2 linked regions of the Macaca fascicularis genome follow. The protein of the gene in region 2 purifies or fractionates together with the protein of the main gene of each other region. This does not show direct contact. Links are inferred from orthologs where the notes say so. Each region holds a gene or a part of one and is shown on either strand. Other genes may lie near its edges. The genes, in order: PSME3 and TSPYL6.

Evidence for each region.
Region 1: the proteins of TSPYL6 (region 2) and PSME3 purify together in Homo sapiens (affinity purification with mass spectrometry; 3 studies listed by BioGRID and IntAct, counting the BioPlex papers as one, with this or other methods). This does not show direct contact. The link is inferred for Macaca fascicularis from reciprocal best matches to the Homo sapiens genes TSPYL6 and PSME3.

The regions. Positions count from the first base shown.
Region 1 is NC_088390.1:63,893,610-63,897,228, reverse strand, and holds part of PSME3 (proteasome activator complex subunit 3), read right to left. Parts: intron 3,143-3,619; coding exon 3,094-3,142; intron 2,704-3,093; coding exon 2,591-2,703; intron 2,061-2,590; coding exon 1,992-2,060; intron 1,847-1,991; coding exon 1,779-1,846; intron 1,680-1,778; coding exon 1,625-1,679; intron 1,498-1,624; coding exon 1,411-1,497; intron 1-1,410. UniProt on the Homo sapiens protein: Subunit of the 11S REG-gamma (also called PA28-gamma) proteasome regulator, a doughnut-shaped homoheptamer which associates with the proteasome. 11S REG-gamma activates the trypsin-like catalytic subunit of the proteasome but inhibits the chymotrypsin-like and postglutamyl-preferring (PGPH) subunits.
Region 2 is NC_088387.1:67,591,664-67,596,103, reverse strand, and holds the start of TSPYL6 (testis-specific Y-encoded-like protein 6), read right to left. Parts: upstream 3,037-4,440; 5' UTR 2,847-3,036; coding exon 1,614-2,846; 3' UTR 1-1,613.

The sequences.
Region 1 (3,619 bases), on a different chromosome or scaffold from region 2:
CATGCCCAGCTAATTTTTTGTATTTTCAGTAGAGATGGGGTTTCACCATGTTGGCCAGGCTGGTCTCAAACTCCTGACCTCATGTGATCTACCTGCCTCAGCCTCCCACAGTGCTGGCATTACAGGTGTGATCCACCACACCCGGCCTCTTCAGTCCCATTTTATTTTTTTAATTTTAATTTTTATTTGAGGCTGAGTTTCGTTCTTATTGCCCAGGCTGGAGTCCAGAGGCACAATCTCGGCTCACTGCAACCTCCGCCTCCCGGGTTCAAGCAATTCTCCTGCCTCAGCATCCCAAGTAGCTAGGATTACAGGCATGCGCCAATTTTTTTTTGTATTTTTAGTAAAGACAGGGTTTTTCCATGTTGGTCAGGCTGGTCTCGAACTCCTGACCTGAAGTGATATGTCCGCCTCGGCCTCCCAAAGTGCTGATATTACAGGCGTGAGCCACCACACCAGGCCTATTTTTATTTTTATTTTTTTTGAGACGGAGTTTCACTCTTGTTGCCCAGGCTGGAGTGCAATGGCACGCTCTTGGCTCACCGTAAACTCCACTTCCTGGGTTCAAGTGATTCTCCTGCCTCAGCCTCCCAAGTAGCTGGGATTACAGCCATGTGCCACCACGCCCAGCTAATTTTGTATTTTTAGTAGAGACAAGGTTTCACCATGTTGGTCAGGCTGGTCTCAAACTCCTGACCTCAGGTGATCCACCTGGCTTGGCCTCCTGAAGTGCTGGGATTACAGACATGAGCGACTGCACCCAGCCCAGTCCCATTTTATTTTTTTTTTTTATTTTATTTTTTTTTTTGAGACGGAGTCTCACGCTGTTGCCCAGGCTGGAGTGCAGTGGCGTGATCTCGGCTCACTGCAAGCTCCGCCTCCCGGGTTCCCGCCATTCTCCTGCCTCAGCCTCCTGAGTAGCTGGGACTACAGGCGCCCGCCACCGCGCCCGGCTAATTTTTTGTATTTTTAGTAGAGATGGGGTTTCACTGTGGTCTCGATCTCCTGACCTTGTGATCCGCCCGCCTCGGCCTCCCAAAGTGCTGGGATTACAGGCTTGAGCCACCGCGCCCGGCCCCAGTCCCATTTTAAAGAAGAAATTGAAGTTTGAGCTTAAACAATTTGCTCGAGATCACACAATACAGGTAGAGCCTGGTTGCAAACCTAAGTCTGTCTGACTCTAACACCGATATCTTAACCATACTGTACGGCACACCCCTCCTCTCAGGCAGAAAGAAGAGAGAAACCCCGCTAGAGGACTTCATGGTTCTCAACACTCAGTTGATGAACAGAATTTAGTCTACTAATTTTACCTCAGACCTTCATCTCAGCCCTTCAGAGAATTTCAAGAATACTCTCGACAGAACTAAGTGAAGCCACAGCAACTATACAAGGACTGAGGTTACTCACATATTGATTCCTCAGCTCTGATATGATGAGCCGAAGGCTGATATATTCTTTCTCATCAATCTCTGTCACGGTGCGGCGATAGTCCTCCTGCAAGGAGGGTAGAGGAAAAAGCTAGTCCCCAAGGCCCAACTGTTCCCAGATAGCTCCTTCCCAGTAACAGTCACTGTTCACTATCCTGCCACCTCCACCCTCAGGCCACAAACCACTTACTTACCACATGGGGATATTTAGCTATTTTAGAAACCAATTTGGCTCTTGTAATATAATATCTGAAAGGAGAGAGAAGAGGAGGAAGCTGCAGGAGACCCTTGATGGTGCCCACCACCTCATCAGCCCCCAATGCCTCGGCCAAGCCCAAGCAGCCCTACCTAGAAATCTGGTCCAGATAAGATGCAGCTTCACTCTCAACAGTTCTTAGCTCTGCAACTGTTTCCTCCTAAAACAAACAAACAACAGGTGCATCAAAAGCCACTTCCATGACATCCACAGCAGCCCCAAGGAGAAAGGAAAAAAAGCTAACGCAGGGGAGATGAGAGTATCTCCCAAGCCGCTCTTCCCAGTTCGTAATTCAAGTACATTACCTGAATGGACACCCCAAAGTTGTTTCCATCTTCTATCCTGGGAATCAGGAGCTGTACCCACATTTTGACCTGGAGGTCAAAACATATATGAGGACCTTTGCCTGAAGGCTGAAGCCATTAAGTACACAATTCAGACGGCTGGGGCCAGATGCCAGGAACACAGAAGCCAAAATACCTAGTCTGGCCAGGCACAGTGGCTCACACCGGTAATCCCAGCAATTTGGGAGCCTGAAGCGAGTGGATCACCTGAGGTCAGGAGTTCGAGACCAGCCTGGCTAGCCATGGCCAAAATGGTGAAACCCCATCTCTACTAAAAACACAACAAGTAGCCGGGTGTGTTAGCAGGCACCTGTAAACCCAGCTACTCAGGAGGCTGAGGCAGGAGAATCGCTTGAACCCAGGAGGCAGAGGTTGCAGTGAGCCGAGATGGCGCCACTGCACTCCAACCTGGGTGACGGAGCAAGACCCCATCTCAAAAAAAAAAAAAACCACAAAAAAATCTAGTCTGCCAATTCCCATACCACCCGTACATCCACTGTTTCTTGCACTTCACGGGGGGTACTTGGGGCCGGCCCATAGGTCACTAGCCTGTGCCTCACCGTGTTACATTTCTCAATCAACAGCCGGATCTCAGGTTTCACTTTCTCAATAATGTCCACCAGCTGCTGGTTGCTTTTCAGCATCCCATTGGGCATCACAAACACCTTGGTTCCTGGCAGAGATATGAAGGTCAAATGATCAGGGAAGAGGGAAGGACACAGCATCCCGTCTCTCTCTCATTTTTCCTATACCTATCAGATGCTATGACCTCTGCCTTTGTCACAATCCTACCAAGACACCACTATTAGAATCAACGAGAATGTGTGGAACAAAAGAACAACAGATGAGCATCTGAAACATGACAAAAGTCTTAAACCCTCTGTTTATTGGAAAACCAGGTTAAGAGCACTAAATAACAAGCATGTTTGGAGGAGCTGGGAATGCTACCTCTGGGAAGTGAGATCAGATCTTGCCTCCTGGTCGGGAGAACTAGATCCACCTGCTTCTCAGGGTTGCAAGTCAGGGGTGGGGTGAGGAGAGGTAAGGTAAGGGTGCCTCTTACCTTGGAAGGCTTCTTCACACTCATCCAACCTTCGCTTCTTATAAGTGGGCTAAGGATACAAAGAGGCAGGGATGAGCCTTCTTTTGACACCCACATGTCCATCACAAGATACCCTCCAAGCAAGTTTAATCCCTTCCTCAGCCTCATAGTTTGTGTTATTAATTTCTGCACAATTTCCTAAGTACACATAAAGCTTTAAGAAAAGGTTCTTGGGGCTGGGCGCGGTGGCTCAAGCCTGTAATCCCAGCACTTTGGGAGGCCGAGATGGGTGGATCACGAGGTCAGGAGATCGAGACCATCCTGGCTAACACGGTGAAACCCCGTCTCTACTACAAAATACAAAAAACTATCCGGGTGAGGTGGCGGGCGCCTGTAGTCTCAGCTACCCGGGAGGCTGAGGCAGGAGAATGGCGTAAACCCAGGAGGCGGAGCTTGCAGTGAGCTGAGATCCGGCTACTGCGCTCCAGCCTGGGCGACAGAGCGAGACTGTCTCAAAAAAACAAACAAACAAAAAAAAAAGGTTCTT
Region 2 (4,440 bases):
AACAAGATCAGGCTGAAAACACTGTCATGAATATCCATATCCATATAATGTACAAAAAAGAAAGGCTGATATTATTCCAAATGTTCCTAATTGAAAGTAAAATAAAATCTGTACAGCTGAATCTTCCCAGTAAACAGAAAGAGAAAATATTATAACACAGTATTAATCTTCCACATAAATAAGGCCACATGCAAACAAGAAAGAGAACACCCAAAATTACAGTGTTTCTTCAAAGAACCCTTCTCTAGGCAACATATTTAACACTCCAACCATCTTCTATTCTTCTATGTGAATACTAAAAAAAAAAAAGTACTTCTCTTCCCATCATAACTAGTCAACCCAGTGTTAATTCTAGGCCTGATTTTCCCCTGAATCATTTCTGCCTTTTTGTTCAGTTTTCCCTGCTTAGAGCACCCATCACAATCTCCTTCATTCTTCTATCCACTCTGAACTAGAAATCACCTTTCATTCCATCCAGCTCTGTATTCCTTTAAACCCTCTAGGAATTGCTAAAGAGGGATGAGGGGCTGAAAAGAAAGGAGAATGGGGAATAAGAGGTCTGGCAGTCTCTTTTACAGAACAGCCTGCTTCTGGACATGACAAAGAAACTAAAAAGCCTGCTTCTGCAGATGTTTCTGAACTACTACTTTTTTTTTTAAAGGAAGACAGAAGAGATTTATGAGAGATGAGAGAAAAGAAAGTGTACACTCACTCTGGCACTTCATTAGGTTCAGGAAGGGAGGAAAATAAAAGTACCTAGATTTTCAATGAATCCACTGGTTGTGGCTGAGAAAGCTTGGTACTTGTCAAGAACACCAACATATTAACCTTGCCATGAGGATAGGGTCTGACATGTCCCCTCAACCATTTGTCTGACAGTAGGGTTTCTGAATGACGAGGGTGGTGGTGGCAAAGAATTGAGAGGTCTTTTGGAAGAGGAAGGAGTCTTTTGTGTGCTGACAGGAAACCTGTGTCCACCACCAGTGTTGTGGAGATCCCTGTTGATTAGAAACCACAGAGTGGAGCTGGCAATGGTCTGGGATATGTTCACTCAGCAGGGAGCTGCCCAAGGTGGTGGGCATAGCCAGTAGCAGGCAGCAATAGGTGACCAGAGTCTCAGGAAAAGTAATGGAGTCCCATAATTCACACAGACCAAGTTGCCCCCTGCTGTTCTCCCTTGACTTCATTAATGCCCAGCAATTGTCCACAGTCCTTGTGCCTGTACTGTCAGATGCAGAGCAGGGTGAGCCGAATAGGTTCTTAGACACAACTAGAAATCCAAATAGGAGCCAGACCAGAGGTCTTGGGAACAAACAGAGTCCAAACAAAGGTAAAGACAGTATAATCTACAGCATCATTCGCTTCGCTTAGAAGGATGTAACCCATCGGCTGGGAGCATGTGATGTTAATGCAGAATAGCAAGACAACCAGGTGAAAGGGAAGCAGCATAGCCACCAAGGTATCAATCTTCAGGTTGAGAGAACGGAAAGTTTAAACAGAGGGTAGAGGAAAGTCAGAACAAAAAAAAGGGCATACCTAATGCTGTTGCCCAACCACAGGTCCAGCTCGTGGTGGCAGGGGACCTTCTGCAGGAGTAGTTCCAAAGGCAAAGGTTAACCAGACTGGAATCCAAAGGGCCTGGGGATCTCCACTGGCTCCCTCATCGGGCGACGTCTAGCTCTATGGGCGTCTTCATCCAACAGGTAGTACTGCAGTGGATTTGGCCAGAGGTCCTCTTTAATAATCTGAGCAATCCTGTCGGACTCTGGAAGGCTGTGGTCTGAAAACCAGGCGAAGAAGCTGCAGATGACATGTCGGTTCCTATGAATGAAGGACTGGGGTCCATGGCCCTGGCGCCACATGATTAGAGTGGAAAAAGACACCACTTGGCCGAAGGATCTGACCTCATACACCTTGACGATGAGCTTGTTTCTGAAGTAAGGGTTTCTTCGAAAGAAGAACTTAAACTTGCAGCCTGTCCTAGGGTGTCTGAGCTCCTTCACTTCCAAATTGGTTAAGTAGCTTAACATCTCGGCATCTTGGCCTCTAATCATGGCAGACAGCTGTGGGTGGTGGCGGAAAGCAGTGACCCAGAAGCCCGGGATATTGCGAATGATGTCATTCCTCTGCTCTAGGTAGTATTCATGCATCTGCCCAAACCTGCGCTCCACCTGCAGGAGGGCCCTGTCAGCCTCGGCATTCACGGAGTCCAGTTCCAGCTGGATGGACTCCAGGGGGTTCAGGTGGAGACCCACGTTCAGGGGCCCGGGCCGGGGCCCAGGCCCTGCATCCTTATTTACCTCATCTGTTGCTCTGTTTCCTTCCGCCATGTCCATTTCCTCGCCTCCTAGCTTCTCATCGACTGGGGCTGAGAGCATGGCACACTCCTCAGGCTTCACGTCCTCGGCCTTCCCCTCTGCAATCACTTCAGACTCCGACCTCCCTGCACCACAGGTTTCTACAGCCTTCTCCCCATCTAGGCCGGGCGTCTCTTCACCCGGAAAGCCATTTTTGAGGCTGCCGTCAGTTGTCAGCGAGATAGAAGCTGCTTCTAGGCCCTCCGCGGGTGGTAGAGTCACTTCCTGTCCAGCTTTGATGGCTCCACGACTGCGACTCCCATCGACCAAGATGTGGAAAGTACGGCCACTATCTGCGGGATCCTGGGGTGCGACCCCCTCCTCTGGAAGCTGGGGCGGTGGGAGCACGACTGGCTCCAAGCGGCCCTCAAACACATCTGCCATTACCTGTGTCGCCTTGCTCTTCTCTCGGGACCTCTGGCCCTGGTGCGGGTCTTCCGGGGCACGGTCGAGAGTAGCAGGCCTGTGAGGACTCTCCAGGAGGCTCATGTTGGTAGCGGCCAGGGCGGCAGTCGGTAGAGGCCAGGCCACAACGGTGGGTCCCGTCAACGTTCCTCACACAAAATGGCGAGTAAACACCTCGACTATTTGCACCGCCCACTCTTCAGTCTCGCGACACCCACCCCTCAGTCTCGCGAGTCTGTGGTGGTGTCCTGTGCATCGTTATTTTAGCCATTGTGCTGGATGAGTAGTGGTATCACATGGCGGTTTTAATTTGCATTTAGCCAAAGCCTAATCAACTGAGAACCTTCTCATATGTTTTTTGGCCATTAGGATATTCTCTCTTGTGCAGTATCTGAGGCTTCTCCCTATTTCTCTGTTGGGCAGGTGTTCTTTTTCATATTGATTTGTAGGAAGCCTTTGTACATGCTAGATACTAGTCATTCTTCAAGTATAGATATTACAAATATTTCCTCCCACTCTGTGGATTACTTTTTCTGTTTTTTGAGGTTTTTTTGTTTTTTTGAGACGGGCTCTGTTGCCCAGGCTGGAGTGCAGTGGCGCCATCTCAGCTCACTGAAGCTGCTGACTCCCGAATTCAAGCGCTTCTCCTGCCTCAGCCTCCCAAGTAGCTGGGACTACAGATGCCTGTCACCATGCCCAGCCTTTTCTTTCTTTTTTTTTTTTTAGTAGAGATGTGGTTTTGTCATGTTGGCCAGGCTGTTCTTGAACTCCTAGCCTCAGGTGATCCGCCCACCTTGGCCTCCCAAAGTGCTGGCATTACAGGCGTGAGCCACTGCGCCTGGCCTACTTTTTCATCATCTTAATGGTACCTTTTGAGGAACAAAAGTTTTTCATCTTAATATGTGTCAATTTGTCATTTCCCCCTCTACCTTAGTGTTTTTCTGCTCTGTTTAAGAAATCTTATCTCTTGCCTGGGCACAGTGCCTCACACCTGTAATTCCAGCACTTTGAGAGGCAGAGGTGGGAAGATCACTTGAGCCCAGGAGTTGGAGACCAGCCAGGGCAACATAGGAAGACCCCATCTCTATTTCAAAAAAGAATTTAAAAATGAAGAACCTTATCTCACCAAGATTGTTCAAATTTGTATCTGCCATCCAGCTGGAATTCATTTTTATGAGTAGGGTCACAATTTGTTTTTTTCCATATGAATATCTAATTGACCCAGCCTTGTTTATTGAAAAGACCATTCTTTCCACATTCATAGGTTTTTAAATGTTTCCATCAAAAGTGACATAAATCATTGGCCAGAGCTAGTCAGTTGACCTTGTCTAACTTTAATAGGACAGGGAGGTGTAACCTTCTCCTGAGCCTGGAAGGAGGAAACTGGAAATATTGGCAACTGCTGTATCACTCATCATGAAAAATAATTTGAGTAATAAACAAAAGACCAATAGAGTTAGGCCAAAGGACATAGATAAAAGGTAATAATAAACAGAAATTTATGTAAGACAATACAGAGTATCAACCAAAGATTAATAATAAAAAGAGAAACAGTATTTGGAAAGGAAAACATAGTCACATTGATTATTTAAAGAAATATGACAGGATGTTAGACAGCTTTATGCCAATACATTTTCAAACTTAGATGAAATATATGGCTTCATAGAAATGTATAACT